Styela clava: one gene and its partner. The protein of the gene in region 1 interacts with the protein of each later gene in a pairwise test. Links are inferred from orthologs where the notes say so. Each region holds a gene or a part of one and is shown in the gene's direction. Other genes may lie near its edges.

Evidence for each region.
Region 2: the proteins of splicing factor U2AF 50 kDa subunit-like (region 1) and splicing factor U2AF 35 kDa subunit-like interact in binary tests that used the Drosophila melanogaster proteins (3 or more experiments, as listed by UniProt). The link is inferred for Styela clava from reciprocal best matches to the Drosophila melanogaster genes U2af50 and U2af38.

What each region holds. Positions count from the first base shown.
Region 1 is NC_135261.1:11,542,736-11,550,817, forward strand, and holds the start of splicing factor U2AF 50 kDa subunit-like, read left to right. Parts: upstream 1-5,062; 5' UTR 5,063-5,214; coding exon 5,215-5,244; intron 5,245-5,807; coding exon 5,808-6,028; intron 6,029-6,502; coding exon 6,503-6,767; intron 6,768-6,852; coding exon 6,853-7,059; intron 7,060-7,663; coding exon 7,664-7,813; intron 7,814-8,082. UniProt on the Drosophila melanogaster protein: Necessary for the splicing of pre-mRNA. Binds to the polypyrimidine tract of introns early during spliceosome assembly.
Region 2 is NC_135253.1:21,304,470-21,312,686, forward strand, and holds the start of splicing factor U2AF 35 kDa subunit-like, read left to right. Parts: upstream 1-5,211; 5' UTR 5,212-5,361; coding exon 5,362-5,405; intron 5,406-7,530; coding exon 7,531-7,618; intron 7,619-7,846; coding exon 7,847-7,907; intron 7,908-8,217. Other genes in the region: uncharacterized protein LOC120344621, read right to left, coding at 1-2,189. UniProt on the Drosophila melanogaster protein: Necessary for the splicing of pre-mRNA. Binds to the polypyrimidine tract of introns early during spliceosome assembly.

The sequences.
Region 1 (8,082 bases):
AGAATTATATCTATCTTGGAGCGAAATAAATTTTCAAATGGCCAATAATCTTTGCATCAATAAAGCTATATAATCAAATTACCTTTGCGTGGTTATCTTTAGCTCTGGTATGGGACGTACTTGATTTGAATCAAATTGCGAAATTGTTCAGGTCATCACCATCATGAAAACTTTGATACTACGCTTACGCATTTTTGATGCTGAATGAGCTCTATCGTAAATTTCCTGTGGAATATCAGGACTAGGTCCCTCTATATAACCCGGTACAAATTGTACAGAAATTTGTTGGATAAATTGATGTTAGGGTGGGCTGTTGGAACCCCTAGTAAAATGGGTTTTGCGCAGAAACCATAAGAAGTTACTATGAAAATAAGAATAATAATTCTGACAATACATTTGATACGGAATATTTCCATAACATATATTTGGTTGTTGACTATTAGGATAAACAACACCAGCCAAGGACGCCGGATTAACGGGTCTAGGAACGGTTGTAACAATTGTGGTATCGTTACTCCTAACACTTGGTGTTGTCATGCCAGACGCAAATCCAGAAAAGTAACAAAAACATTAGATATACTTGATACAAAAACTTCTGTCGCACTAGAAGTTGACGGAATATCTTCATCTTTTGATTGATTCGGTATTTTACGCGGAATTTTTTTTTCACTGTGTCGATGCGGAGCGACAGGTATCCAAGTAGGGTACTCGAAATGTAAATGTACGTAGCCTATGTTGTTTTAATAATGTTCTGGAGCGATCTGTTGCGCAATTCCATACACCACAGCAGATATTATTAAAGTATTGTTCTGTCATTGTCCAGTTTGTCGTTTCTCAATCTAAATTAATTGGACTAATGTTCAAGTGTTCTGTAACCGAGTAGCCAAACGAAGTTTGATTTGATGATGCGAATTGTCCAAAACTCGGTTATTTTCGTCAAGTTGAGTTCTGATGTTGTGTCAGTAAAACCAGAAAACCTAATTATATAAAATGTATAAGAAGCTGCTTCGCTATATATAGTTTTCATTGTCTGACTCACAATTAGAATATAAATTTTTGCAATCAAAATTGATCGTGGATCATTTTGTTATTATGTTGTTGTTACCGCTTCTTCTTGTTGTTACCGTATGAAAAAATCGTTAACTATACTGAACCAATTGCTTTGAAATTTTCAGTGGTTAAAGATTATATTATTCGTTCGATGGCTATTACTATTATTTATTCCTAAATTTTTATATGAATCCGACGAGATCTGATATTTCATCCAAAGTTCCGCTGTATTATTACCTACTGCTTGCGGTCTCCGGTGTTCGCGTTAGGCTGGTGAATCATGGTTCATCATAGTAGAGAAGTCTTTTAGATTGATTCAGATTTCCTATTTGTCTTTTCAGCGATCTAGAAAAAGAATTGTAAATGTAAGGGAGTGTAGAATCTTAGCAGAAAATCGTATTAAATTTGTGTGTGTTTTTAAGGGCACATTTTTATATGAAGATGCTAATGAAAGTAAAAACAATGAATATGATGACGTTGGATTTGGCAAACGACCTAGTTCCCAAAACAATATCATTGTAGTTGAGATTGAGCTTCAGAAAGTCAGACCTGCGCCAATCACTTTGATTGTTGGAATTGATAACAAGAACCAAGGGTCATCCAAAAACGAACCTGGAGTTAAGCCCAATTGTTTTTTCGCAAGCCCGAATGCGGCGCAGTTCACCAAGAGTAACAGAAAAATAATTCGACGTTTGGGAAACCATAGTTTTTTTTCTTCTGCGAATTAAAAATAAAAGAGGAGGGGGGATGTTTGACGTTGCCTCTAGTCCTAACACTGAACTAACTAAGATGTAAGTTTGCTGCCAGTTCCTATATAAGCGGAGAGGTTTATGTTGTTCGAAGTTACAGGTTTTTCAAATATGTTTTTGCGCAATTCGGGATCATCAATTTAATGCAAAGATTACCGCTATGTTACGACATTCCTATCTTGAAATGTTTTCATAAATTCGATTTTTTTTTTAATTTTATGGAGACTTTGCGACTTGTTTTGAACAGTCCTCAGCAACAATAACTACAGTATATTTATTACACTAATCAATGATAAATTATTCTACTCACCACCGCGTTCTCAATTTTGCACAATCGATTTTTTGTTTGCTCTCGCCATTCTGTCCAGTTTCTTCATCGCATCATTTGTGGGTCCAACTATCATTGGTCAACGTGGGGATTCGGGGAACTGCTTGCAAACGATGGTATTCAGATTACAGAATCGCATGGTGAAATTTTAATTCCATTCATATATACCATGAAACTAGAAAAATATTTGTATTAATAATAATAAATGTTCACTACTACTGCGATGAGGTCATAATATACGCAGGTTAAATTTGATATACTGACAATTTAGGATTTCGAATGAGACTAAATCTAAAGGCTAAATCTGGCGTTTTGTCTGTATACTGAAGTACAGGTGTTTCTACGAGAATCGACTTACTTGACTACTTTCGCAACATTATCTAATCAGCAAGATGTTAACGGTGACTTCACAATGACAACTTTGCGTTTGATATGAAACCAAAAGAACGAGGCCATATCCGGATTCAATATGCATACATTGTACCAACTGCCATAACATTTACTTATTTCACCGTTTTTTTCAAAAAAATATTTTTCTTTTTTATTGGATTTTCATAAAATAATACAATATTGCAATAAAATAAAACAATATTGTAATAAACAATATCAATCAACAAACAATACATCATAGCAATACATAACAACATCATTCCAGATAACTCTATGCATAACTAGGCTTACCATACGTCCCGCTTTAGGCGGGACAGTCCCACTTTTCAACGTCTTGTCCCGGTATCCCGACAGGTCAGCCAAATGTCCCGCTTTGGCGTTCAACCAGTCAGCATAAAACACGAACAATACAAATTATAATGTTATTGACACTGTTGTTGCTGTGTAGCGTACCGTTAGCCTTCTTACTGAAGATGCGTGCGTGGTTTTGTTTGTTCCGTTGTTTTGTTACATTACGGATAATTGCTACATTTTGTTACGTGTAAGCATCGTACGCCAAAAGGGGGCTTAACGTTAACGTAAATTTATTTCTATTTTTCGAACTGAAACCGATAATTAGACAGACAGCGCATGAACTTTCGATTACAATATGGTCAATGAAGACGGTTGGAATGGTTTTAAATATAGGCCCCCAATGTAAAATTTAAAGGAGCAAAAATCACAGATATGGTCTTTGGGGGGTCCCGCTTCGAGATCACAAAAATGTGGTAACTCGTGAGATATCGCGTGCATCTAACAGACAGACAGACAGACAGACAGACAGACAGACAGACAGACAGACAGACAGACAGACAGACAGACAGACAGACAGACAGACAGACAGACAGACAGACAGACAAATACCTATCAACATACTTACCGATTAAAATCGATAAGTAATAAAGGTAATAAGGTTTCAATATGTTGTTTACATATTTCACACACAGCACATACTAAGTCAGTGGTTCCCAACCGGCTGTCCGCGGACCGGTGTCGGTCCGCGAAGCTTTTTTGCCGGTCCGCGAGAAATTTCGTTGTTACTTATCGATTTTAATCGGTAAGTAAGTTGATAGGTATTTGTCTGTCTGTCTGTCTGTCTGTCTGTCTGTTAGATGCATGCAATATCTCACTAAAGCAATATTGAATCTGCTCCAGATTGTGCATTCATCATATGTCGAACCAGAAGCCTATTGGTTTTGGATGAATTACATTGTATAATTAGCAAGTTATTAATTAATTAGTGATGGGACACAAGGTGTCACTATGGAGTAAGAGCGCTGTTTTGGGGATCTCAGAGCTACGTGTTGCGAAAACTTCTTTGAGGCCTCGTTTGCTATCCTATATTGGAAACGGAGCAAACAGCAGCAAAATTCTCAGTTAATTGCGTTTGCACATGATTTGGTATGTACATGTTTTTTATGTGAGATGTTTTATGCTTGCCTTTCTTATTCATAATGGGTGCTCAGCACTGCATTTCATTACGCAAATACATAGTATTATTTTATGTTTCACTCATTTCAATTTTTGGCCGGCACATTATTTGATAGTTTTTCTTCGTGTGAAAGTTTTTAAGTGTGCCTTTTTGGCTAGAAGCATATTGAGCGCCTGACATTGCAATATATTATGCAAATATATGTTATTCTTTTCTGTTCCGGTCATTTCAATTTCTTGCCGGTCCGCGAGTACATTTAATTTAATTTTATCGCCGGCGGGTAAAAAGGTTGGGAACCATTGTACTACCGTGTTTTCCCGGAAAAAAGAACGGTGTCTTATTTCAATGTTTTTTCGATAAATACCACTAGGGCCTATTTTTTTTTGGAGGGGGGGGGGTGTTTTTTATTTTCATTTATCAAAAACAAAATAATAAATTAGAGATTTTCAAATATAAAAATGTAATAACCGATATTCATTCATGTATAAATAACACGTTTTTATTTAAAAAAAAACTGCTAAACATACATTATAATACCTTAAAACGGGTAGGAAAGATTTCTTGTTATCGAAAAAAGTCAAAAAAAAAATTGTTTTATTTTAATAGCTCACTTATCATCCTTCTTAACACTTTCTTAGAAGAAATCAAGTAATATTAACTGAAAAAACTACCGTATTGAAAGTGATATCCATCCGACCATGGGGGATCCACCTACAGCTGACCAATTTAATTGTTACATCATACAGAAGTCTGCGTTCATTGGTCCATGATACCGGAAAAGCAGAGAATATAGGACAGATCATAGCGCATATTTCTTGTAGTAAAAGCTAAAGCGTCTTTTCCGTAAAGCGTGCAACTTTTGGAAATGGGAACAAGTCATTATTTGTTAGCAAATTTTTAAGGAACATTTTAAAATCATTTTCAGGTAGTTCACTTTTGTGCGCTACGAAACTGAAAGATAAACTGCCTCGGCTCGCGGCCTATAAGTAAGTATCCATTTTCATATAGTCTATGTGTCACTATCGCCTCTAGTGATGAGGAATAATCACGTGACTTGTAGTTCCTTTCCTCGAGTCTGACATATTTGCGTCTGCAATTGTTCTGTACTGCTCGTCAGCCGTCTGTGGGTGAATAATTCGTGATACATTAGAAACCTCAGTGAATTTAAATTTTTCGTACCTGATTTTTAATTGTATTGTCGAAATTGGAGGTTCAGGAAGTACAATATGGACCAGAACCAACAGGCCTTTATGAAGGTAGTATACCGTACCGGTATTCCGGTTTGTTCTCTGCTGCCTGACTGCTCTAGGCTGGCAATTATATTTTAATTCCATAACGTACGTTAATTTGTTTGAGTATCTGAATTGAAATAATTATGCATAATATAATTGTTATAGTGAAAATACGGTACTGCAATTTTGCCTCCACGTCATACAAGCATACGGTACCGTACTGTACACATGAATGCATGATGATCAATGAAGTGGTAACTTAACGTTAAACAATACATGAAATAATTATTCAGTTATTAAAATATCAATTCTTAAGCTTATAAATCATGTAAATTACATTTTATCCATACATTTGTATAATAATTCAAGTTTCAGTGTTTGATATTGCTGAAAATATTCCTTTGCTTTTACCAACTGGTACAACCATAGTTTTTCTTTAGGGAGCCAAAAATGAGAAGCAATAGTGTGTCGCAATTCTTTCATCTGATCAGGCATGCTTGATTGATTTCTAATTTCGGTAGAATGAGACAAGACCTAATCAAACATTCAAAAAAGGTTTTTGATAAAATTATTTACATTATTTTCAGCAAGAGGCTGGTCCTGATTCATATGAAAATGGTGGTTATCCACCTGGAAATAATCAAGGATATGGAGAAGATATAAAACCACAAGGTGGCAATGAAGACAGGCGTGATCGTAAGAGGAGAGACAGGTCACGTGATAGAGATCATGACCGGAGACGCAGCAGAGATCGGGATCGTGATAGAGATAGGAAAAGAAGAAGCAAAAGCAGAGAAAAACGTCGAAGGTACTGTGTATGCGAGGATGGCTGAATTTGAATTCATTTCCAAATGTCTTTCAACAATCTCAGATCATAAGCATAATAACCAACTCTGCAGGTCATATTGATATATAAATATGATTCGTGATTGGATTAAATTCAAGTTTTATCTGTATGATAAATAATATTTAGTAATTTTTTTAAATTCATGTAGTTTATTGACTTTTTTATTATCAGATATGGAGTAAGTATCAAAGTAAGTAAGATTTTATTATAAAATATTTTTATAGAATGGATTTTTTTTTTATATTTAAAATAATATAATTTTCTGATTGATTATATTCTAATAGAATTTCAAGTTCCTAATAATGCAGTTTATTTTGTGCCAAGTGATTTGGCTTTTCGGTCCATGGCTATTGTAGGCATATTTATTATATTACAAAGATTTATTATTCTTGTTTTCTAAATTGCAGCGACCCCAAATTTTTTTTAACCCAACAGGCGATCGAGGTCAAGAGAGAATAGAAAGCGACGCAGTCGATCTCGAAGCAAGGAAAAACCAACTACAGCTACAAAGAAAAAGAAACAATACAAATATTGGGACGTGGCACCATCTGGGTTTGAACACCTCACCCCACTTCAATACAAGGCCATGCAAGCAGCTGGACAGATCCCTCTTATGGCTACAACTCCAAGTCTTGGCACTGGGACACCTACTGGTCCAGCGGCACCTCTACCGGGGACACAGATGACTCGTCAGGTTTGTGTGGGTAATTTTACCTGTTTCATGAATTGAATGGATTTATAGTGAAGCAATTTATACACGGATGTATTGTTTTACTGTTTTTCAGCCTTTCTACTTGTTCCAAGCTCGGAGATTATATGTTGGTAACATACCTTTTGGGGTGACAGAGGATGCCATGATGGATTTTTTCAATCAACAAATGAAAATGTCTGGTCTTGCACAAGCGCCCGGAAACCCTGTATTAGCTGTTCAGATAAACCTTGACAAAAATTTTGCTTTCCTAGAGTTCAGATCTGTGGATGAAACTACACAGGTAAATACAGAAATTTTTCAAATCTTGATATATTATTACTGTTAGATATATAAACAGATATAAGTATATATATAAGTAGATATAAAGATTTTTAGAAAGAGATTTGATATAATTCACCGCTAGATAAATAAACAGGACAGAAGTCCAATTGCTATAATATGTCTGAATGCGATATTGTGTACCATTTCTCAACTCGCTGCCATTTCTATTTGCTTAACTGCTTTATATGTTGAAAAAAAATGTAATATTACACCACAACAGTATACCAGACTTTATTCTATAGGCTACAAGGATGGCCAAAGCCGAATATTTTTCTATTTTAAATACATTATGAGAAAACGTTTTCGAATTTGAAGTATTGTTTACATTCTACATTGGGGCAAGTGCATGTGAAAAATTACATGAAATATCTAAAACAACATAAATATAAAAGACATTGTTTTCTCTGTGTTGTTTGTTACGGTTGAGATATTGTATTCGATATTTGATTCGTTTTGGACATCCCTGGTTCTATATCACCAGATAGTGTGATGCAAAACTTACCATCAGCTATTAATACTTATTGCCAAGTAGATATCAAGCTGGAGTATTGTTTCTATTTAAGGCTCTTGCTTTTGATGGTATAAATTTCATGGGTCAATCATTGAAAATTCGACGACCAAGTGACTACAAACCACTGCCAGGATCTTCAGAAACACCTTCTGTTCATCTGCCAGGTGTTGTTTCAACTGTCGTACAAGATTCTCTACATAAGGTAATATTATGTTGTATTGAAATTATGTAGAATTACCGTAGTCAAATTTGTTAAGTCTCTCATACAGTGTTCACTATTAGCGCACTTTTTTGCGAAAATTGCGAAACACTTTCGCAACTTTTTTTAGGGACTGCGAAATAGCACTTTTTTCCGATTTTGAAGAGAAAAAGCACTTTTTTCCGATTTTGAATGGAATAAAAATTCAAAGTTTTCAAATATTTTCGAGTATTAAGTTGACAAATAAGTAACATACTAGTACTTTTGTAACT
Region 2 (8,217 bases), on another chromosome or scaffold:
ATTTGTTCATACGCCTTCTCATAATTGTTGTGCAATTTTTCTGGGAAACCAGGTTTCCATGGCATTTTGACACAAACTCGGCCATCAGCACCAATATTGGTTGTCGCTTTTACATGTTTGATAAATGCTGATTCTGCAATTTCTGAGTTAGAACAAACACACAAAGTTGTGGGTTGCACTCCAAGAACTTCACCATGGAAAAACTTGCGCAACTCTTCATTTTCTAATGATGAAAAACTATTAATATTTGCTACATGATTGAAAGATCGTTGCGGTGCTTGAATAATGCCTCCATATAGATAGCATCCAAGAGATGTGAAAGCTGCTGAAGGATGATTATCGGGATCAATTGGCGAACGTAATGAATGCATTGTTTGAATTAAAGGTGCATAATCTCTACCAACAAGAACATCGACTGTTTTTTGCCCAACTGGTATTTTATCCTGAATTCCTCTTAGATATTCAAACTGTTTAAAAATAGATGGCGGAATTGGTGTAACATCGTGACAAGGTTTTCTCACAGCCGTAACTCTGATATCAAATATCTGGTCTCGTGAAAGAGGTCTAATTTTCAAATTATAATCTTCAGAAGGTTCTTCATGAATGGCTCCTCCTGCGACACCAAACCGAATTGTTCCATGTCCTACTGCCTTTTGTTTCAATGATTTTACAAAATTACGTCTTACCAAAGAATGGTTACTGCCACCATCAAGAAAGAAATTTGCCTGGATCCATGTTTTGTCACTCGCCTGCACTTCTGCAACAAGTAATGGAGAATAATCCAAATTAAAAGCGCTCAATTGTCTTGAATGCATCTGAGATTGGTTGAATACTGCTGCATTAGAGTGAATATGTTGACTTTCCAAATTCGAGTCGTTCATACCAGAATTTCTCATTGTATTGTAATTTCCTTGTACTTTTCCGGGACATAATGACCAATGATGCTGTCTTTGGTTACAATTTACACAGCTATTGGCTGTTGTTCTCGCACAATTTCTTGCAAAGTGAGTTCCTAGACATATAAAACATCTTCGATCATCTGCTATAAAGTTTTTTCTTTCAGGAATTGATAGGTTTTGATATTTGTTGCAGTCTATAAGGCGGTGCTGAATTCCACATCCAAAAATACAAGTGACTGTCCTTTGACGTGGCTGAACTGAACCCATGTTATCATTCTCGTCTGTAGCATGATTAACCGTATTGAAATTAGATCTTGGCGACTGGTTTTGTCTCGGTCGAAACCTCATATTCTCGGTTTGACTGATAAAGTTACCAGATATTTCCAATGCTGTAGCTTCAGATCTCAGAAAATTCGTTATAGATTCCAAGTTATGATTACCTTTGCTGGAACTATTATATCGCAGTGCAGTGTCTGCATCTAGACACTCTAATGCTCTATTGACAGAAATAACCGAGTTTGCATCCTGTTTTAACCCAAGATCTTCCATACGTCGGCAGAAGAGAGAAATTTCGTGAGCTAGTCGCCTAAGGTTCGCTGGATTACGAGAGGTCTTATATAAAGGTTTTATTTGCTCGTATTGCTTGATTACTTCACGTTGAACTACTGATTTAGGAATACGCTCTTCCAGGCGTTCCCATGCACTTGAAATTGATTTACAGTCACATATCATTGTTTGATAATCGTTTGGCATTGCACCATTGCGTATAAGCCATGAAATTTGCACTAAATCATCCGTAATTCTAGCATGGTGCATTATATGTGTAAAACGTTCTTTCCAGGTATAAAAGTCTACTTTTTGTCCGTTCCAGCATGGCGGATCCATACCACATAACTTAATCATAGGAGGATCATTATTATAATTGTTTTGAGCGGTTACAAGAGATGATATCACCGGCTTTATATCTAGTTTGTCTTCATATTTCTCAAAATCGATTGCAATCTTGTTTTCCACACGTAAAATTTCTTCACTAAATTTAGATATAACGGGTTTTTCCTCACTTTGTGTAGTACTGTCTTCTTCAATTAGAGCCAATTCCATAGTATCAATTAGACAGACCAAAAATGCTATTTTATCGTTAGCATCATGAAACAGTATTTTGACCTTTTCAAAATCTCTTCTTTCCAGAGAGTGCTCAAATCGTGTTAAAATTCTTTCCAAATTTACTTTGAGTACCGGAAACTTACTCTTGAGTTGTTTGAAATTCTGACCTTGAAAATATTCTGCCATTGTTAGTTGGCATTCTTGCTTTGATGTATTGCTGAATCCTCGAAAGGTTGAAGAAGAACTGCTTGATTCAGACTCCAGTTTGTAGGTGTAGGTGCAGTATCATTAAATGTCACTAATTTGGATTTCTGCCCATTGACAAATCACCCTTGCCTACTATGTCTCTTTAACTAATATCCCGAAATGAAACGAATAGATTTCTCCCAAAGTGATTTAATCCAGATATCAGTAAGACAAAGTGACCTGACAAACAATAAAGATGAATATTAAAATGAGTACAGGCAACCAGGCACAATACAAAGCAAGAATATACCAATTCACTTACATTTAAATGAGGCTTTGTCAGAACAGATTATCCCAATGTAAGAAACTTAAGAAATAGAATATTCATACCCAATGACTATAGCACCATTAACAAGCTTATGAGAACAGATCTAAAGACAGACTAAAGCTCTAGACAGTTAACCATAACAAGAAGTAATCAAGTAATCAGCCAATAATCACGATGCAGTGAACCATACGTAAACACACCAAAAGTAAGTAGTATCAAGATAAATCAGTCAAATGTTCAAACCATTGACGATTATACCGGAAAGATTCTTTTTGACTCATTGGCCTGGCATACGACAAATTGTGATATCAATTAATCATCACTTAATTAAAATGATATATAAAAACACAATATTCCGATTTAAATTAACAAAGTAAAAAAACATGTAATATGTAATATTACGTACTGTATACATTCATCAGATATCTAAAAATTTAAAAAAAGAAATATATAATAATGTATTATAATTACCTAAACCATATCAACTAGGATGGCGCAAGCAAGGTCGCAAACAAAAGTTTGGTATTCAAAACGGTGATGATTTATTGTAGAACAGTGGCTATTAAACTGGGGGGCGCGAGATGCTCACCAGATGGAATCGGAAATTTACATGTTACGGCTCCTGAAACGGTCTCCGCGTTCGTTCAAAATACCGACTTTTTCGTGTTATAATGAATTTTTCTGTCTCGTAATAACTACAATAATTCAAAATGTCTCTCTATTTTAATTCATTTGTGTTCAAGGTAACTCGCGGTTGCGGCGACTCACGACAAAATAAACTCATTACTTATCTAAAATACCACGCCAATCCGCGGACATAATTAAGTATAATCAACTGCCCGGTTATATTTAGTTTTTATATATATTGCACTCATGGGAATTCGTTGTCGTCATTAGAAAGATCTGGTATAATATCTCAGAAAGTATATTTAATATAGTACAATTAAAATACATGTAAAGTATATTAGTAGATAAAAAATACATATTCATCGAAACGAAATCCCTGCGGTACGGCTTCTGAGTCAGTCCTCGAGGTTACGCCAGTCGTTGAAAGAGTCGACTTTTTCAACGGTAATGTAATGGTTTTTCTGTTGAATAAAATATTCAATCCATGACCGATATACTTATTTAAAATGGTTGCTTTATTCATTCAATTCTAATAAATTGAATCTGCGATTGCGTCGATAAAATAAAAGCGCCAGTACTCCAAAATAACACGGTAATCCGCAATCATAGAAATGTCGATTACATTTTGTTTTGATTTGTATTCTTGCCAATTTCACCAATATGAGCTGTCCCTGCAACTCTTACTTCGCTCTATCGCAATGCCGCCACTCGATTAATTTCAAGATATCACCGTTATAGATATTCCTAAGTCTGCGATCCCACGAAGTAAAATTTATATCAAGTCTGTAGTTTTAGAACACTACTGGTGTGCCGCACGCACAAGGAATTAATGAGATTTTCAATGTCTAAGAAAGTGTTTTTAATCTGTCGCGGTCCACCCCAAAACAAAACTCATGGCGTTTTTCGTTTTTTTTTTTCTTTTTATAATGCCACTTTTACAATAAAGAAATTTTTAGTTACGGATTCACTTCTTTCTTCTATCTTTAGCATCTCGTCGCTGATGATTATAATAAAAACTAACCCGTTTTCCTCATAGGTGACATGGTTCCATTCGAGAACAAAAAAAGTAATTATAATCGTCTTCGCTTCACAAGAATATGTCGAGGGAAATTTTGGATTTAGAAAGAATAGACACTGAATTCAAGATTTTTAGGGCTCAAATACCACGCCACGCTGACGTAAACAATGGAGATTTAAACAAAATGCAATCGCAAACGCCTTAGCGACAACAATTAATTGAAATTTTACGTGTCTTATGTAAACGCTTAAGCAGAAAATATTTAAAGCATTGGTTTATTGCTTGTTTAGTTTTACTTAATAATTAGTTTGACTTTGCCAAGTATTGCAAACTGAGCGGAAAAACAAGAATGTATGATGGCCAATCACTATTTGGCTTTATACATACGACAGTGACGCTATGAGACCAACACTCTGTTATAGCGCCATCTTGATATATAACAACTTGTCCATCACAAAAGCATTTTTTCGAAGCAAAAAGAGGGGGGGGCGCGAAGTTTGTAAAATTTTTCGAAGGGAGGCGCGGCTTAAAAAGTTTAGGAACCACTGTTTTAGAATGTAGTGAAAATAGAAAAATACTCGTATGCTTGATTGACAATAATGCGATCGAATAGTTAAGTGTAAAGTTATGTGGAAGATAATGGTGTCGCTGCACGATAACCAGTAATGATGTCTCGCGCCTCCCTTTACCCTGAGGTAGCAAATTACTTCATTTTTATTGTTTATTCATAAAATGTATTTCGGTAGGGTCAAAATAAACTGGTGATTACTGAAAAATTCACCCCAAAATAGCTACGCTACATATTATTTTCACGTGCAAATTTTTGTTGAATTCAAGCGTTCGCCAAGCTTCTGAAACATTTTACGGATAAAATTATTTTTCGTGCGGATAAGAATATTTTTATAATGCTAATGGCAATAGAAATGTATCAAATTAATTTGTTTCATTTATCCGAAAGGATTTGGCGCCTACAAAACTTGACTCCGATCACTTCATTCGAGCACCTACGCCCACTAGTGATAATAAACGCTGAACCAACGAGAAACGTCAAGAAATTTTCACTGCGTGTGTTTGTGATTGGAGGTCTTGCGAGTTGGCTGTGGTACGGTATTTCTGTATTTGGACTATTTGCTGATTTTGTCATTGAGTAATATTTCGACGCAAGAGGTTCGTCAATATATCAGTATCCCATCGCAAACATGGCGGAGTATCTGGCCTCGATTTTTGGGACAGAAAAAGACAAGTGAGTTACTTATTTTCAATTTATGTTTCTGTATTCAGGAACTCTAAAACATTCAATAGCGTACCGGTACCGGTACTGATTGGATATTTGATTTCCTCTTGTGGTCTACAATAGAAATTGCAGTTGAAATACGATTTACATATTTATCTCGGGTGAGATGAAAGACCGCTTAATCATATGTCGAACCAAGTGCAGAAGTGCCTCTTGTCCGGTTACATGCCAGACTGGATTCCATGGCAGGTGCACGCCCGAGGGCGCTAGCGCTCCGCAAAAATGCACGCGAGCGAAATCAATTTTGCACGCCGAAAATTTGCAATTGCTCACCAATGTAAATCGGTTTAAATGGTTTTAAAATCAATAATCCAGTAATATAAAGATGCCAAAATATTATAACTCCACAATTGTCGACAAATACCAGCCTGCAAGATTTGGTCTGATCGAAATATTGCGAAGCAAAAAGACCATGGACCTTTCCCCAACCTTTGACCCGCGAAAAATTCTTCTCATTGTTACGTCCTTTTTTGCATCTTGCTGATTGGCCAATGTCACGAAGTAAACAAGGAAGTCGATGCTCGGGGAAAGGTCCATATCGTGTTGAATGATAGGAAATAGGAATCCCGTGAGAATAGTTATGGACGAAAAGATCGCCTCCGCACCAATGGCCAAGTACGGCTCTGATTCAGCGTATTTTTCATACAATAATTTTACACGAATGTACTGAACAGTACCGGTATCTAAAGTTGCTCAAACACTCCCAAAATTAGTGACAAAGTATGAAAATAATGTTTGGGGTCAAAGGTCAAACGTCCATTTTGCTCTAATTTGACGTATTTTTTATCCATTAATTCTACGTAAAAACACTACCAAAATTAATGACAAAGTATGTCCATTTTGCTCTGGTTCAACGTAATTTTTATCCAATAATTTTACGCGGATGTACTGAACAGTACCGGTATCCAAAGTCGCACAAACACTCTCAAAATTAGCGACAAACTGTAGAAATAATGTTTGGGGTCAAAGGTCAAACGTCCATTTTTTTTCTCTGATTCAACGTATTTTTTATCCGATACCGGTAATTTTACGCGGATTTATTGAGAGGTATCTGATGTCAAAGTCAGTTGCACGCGAGTGCAGTTGTTTTGCACGTCGTGAGCTATAATTGCACGCCAGGAATTCTTATTTGCACGCGGGAATTTCTGATTGCACGCCCGATTTCTCGTTCAAAAAGGCCATGAAATCCAGACTGGCCGGTATTTAAACGAAATTCGAAATGCATCGTTTAACAAAATACAAAAGCAATGCTTGATGCTGTAATGTCGCGCTTAGGTATGGCGAGGCTCAAGTTGTGTAGCTGAGTGCCAACTTTTCTAAAAAGATGTGAAATATTCGCCACCATAGCACACATAAAAATATATATATTTGAAAGCCTTTCAGAGATTTGAATTATCCTCAAGACTGAATATCGAAATGTAACGGTATTAGTTGCAATATTAAGAAAAACCCCATTATCCTCAAGGAATTTTAGTCAATTGATTCATTAGTTGACTACCATACTTGTCCAATTGCAAACTTATTTGTCAATGCTATGACAATATTTTCCACAGTGGTTTAGCGAAAAATGCATTACATCGTGATTGTGAAATAAAAATAATAACTGATGCCTTCAAAGTCAAGAAGCATGGACTTGATGGTGGAGGAAGCCGTAACCGACCAGCAGTTACGTTACCTGAACATCCCTGGCGGCGAGGAGTCCAGCAATCCTTTTGCACATAATTATACTCGCATGAAATTCGAACCTGCGAACCCGCAGTGTAATTAAAGGTGCAGTGGTGATCGTATTCCTAACTCTTAGCACGATGTGCCACACCACTGTAATTAAATTTGAATAATGGAATCCCTTTTGTATTCTGATTAATCTAACTTAGTCCAGATTCAAAATTCTGGCTTGAGCGCAATTCTGTATGCCTTTTGTATGAATCGCAACATATAGCGCATGCTTATAGCTGTTTTGAAATTTGTAATTGTTTGTAAAAAATAAACTCGACCTCTTCAAACGCAAAAGAAATTTTAAACTTGATTTTGTAATTTTTTCATTGCTGATTCTGTTTTTTTTTTCTATTTTCAGGGTAAATTGTTCTTTCTACTTCAAGATTGGAGCTTGTCGTCATGGAGATCGTTGTTCAAGACTTCACAACAAACCCACTTTCAGCCAGGTATTTAATTTTTATGAATGATATTTATCCTCATCTAATTTTATAGGTTTCAGTAAATGATATCATGAATCTTACTTTGACTAGGAATGAACCGTTTATATATATATATATATATATATATAGGGTGATTTCCAGATTCATTTTTTATATTCATTTAATTCATTTCCAATGGCTTCATTTTAACAATGTCTAACTGCTTAGTAATTATTGTTATTTTCAATTTTACAGACGATCATGTTGCAAGGATTATATCAGAATCCACAGATTACAAACTGCTCTGTTCCCAATGGTGAGTTGATATTTGCCAATTTCATATCGTATATTTATCAATTTTCTCTGGACATAATGCGCACCCATAATGCGCATATTCATTTTAGCACTATTAAGCCTGATGTCAGAGCGTGTTTTCAGATGCTGCACTTCAAAAAAGAGTCATGGTCACTAATTTGGGTGACATATGTGTGAGGGAGAGAAACGGCAAGACGGTGACAGCAGTTAACGATATACAACTGTTCTTTAACTTTTTTTTTCGGCTTTCGGAGTTATTGAATTCGTTAAAATTCTTGCTACTTTTACTAACCCTAAATTTCTTTGGATTG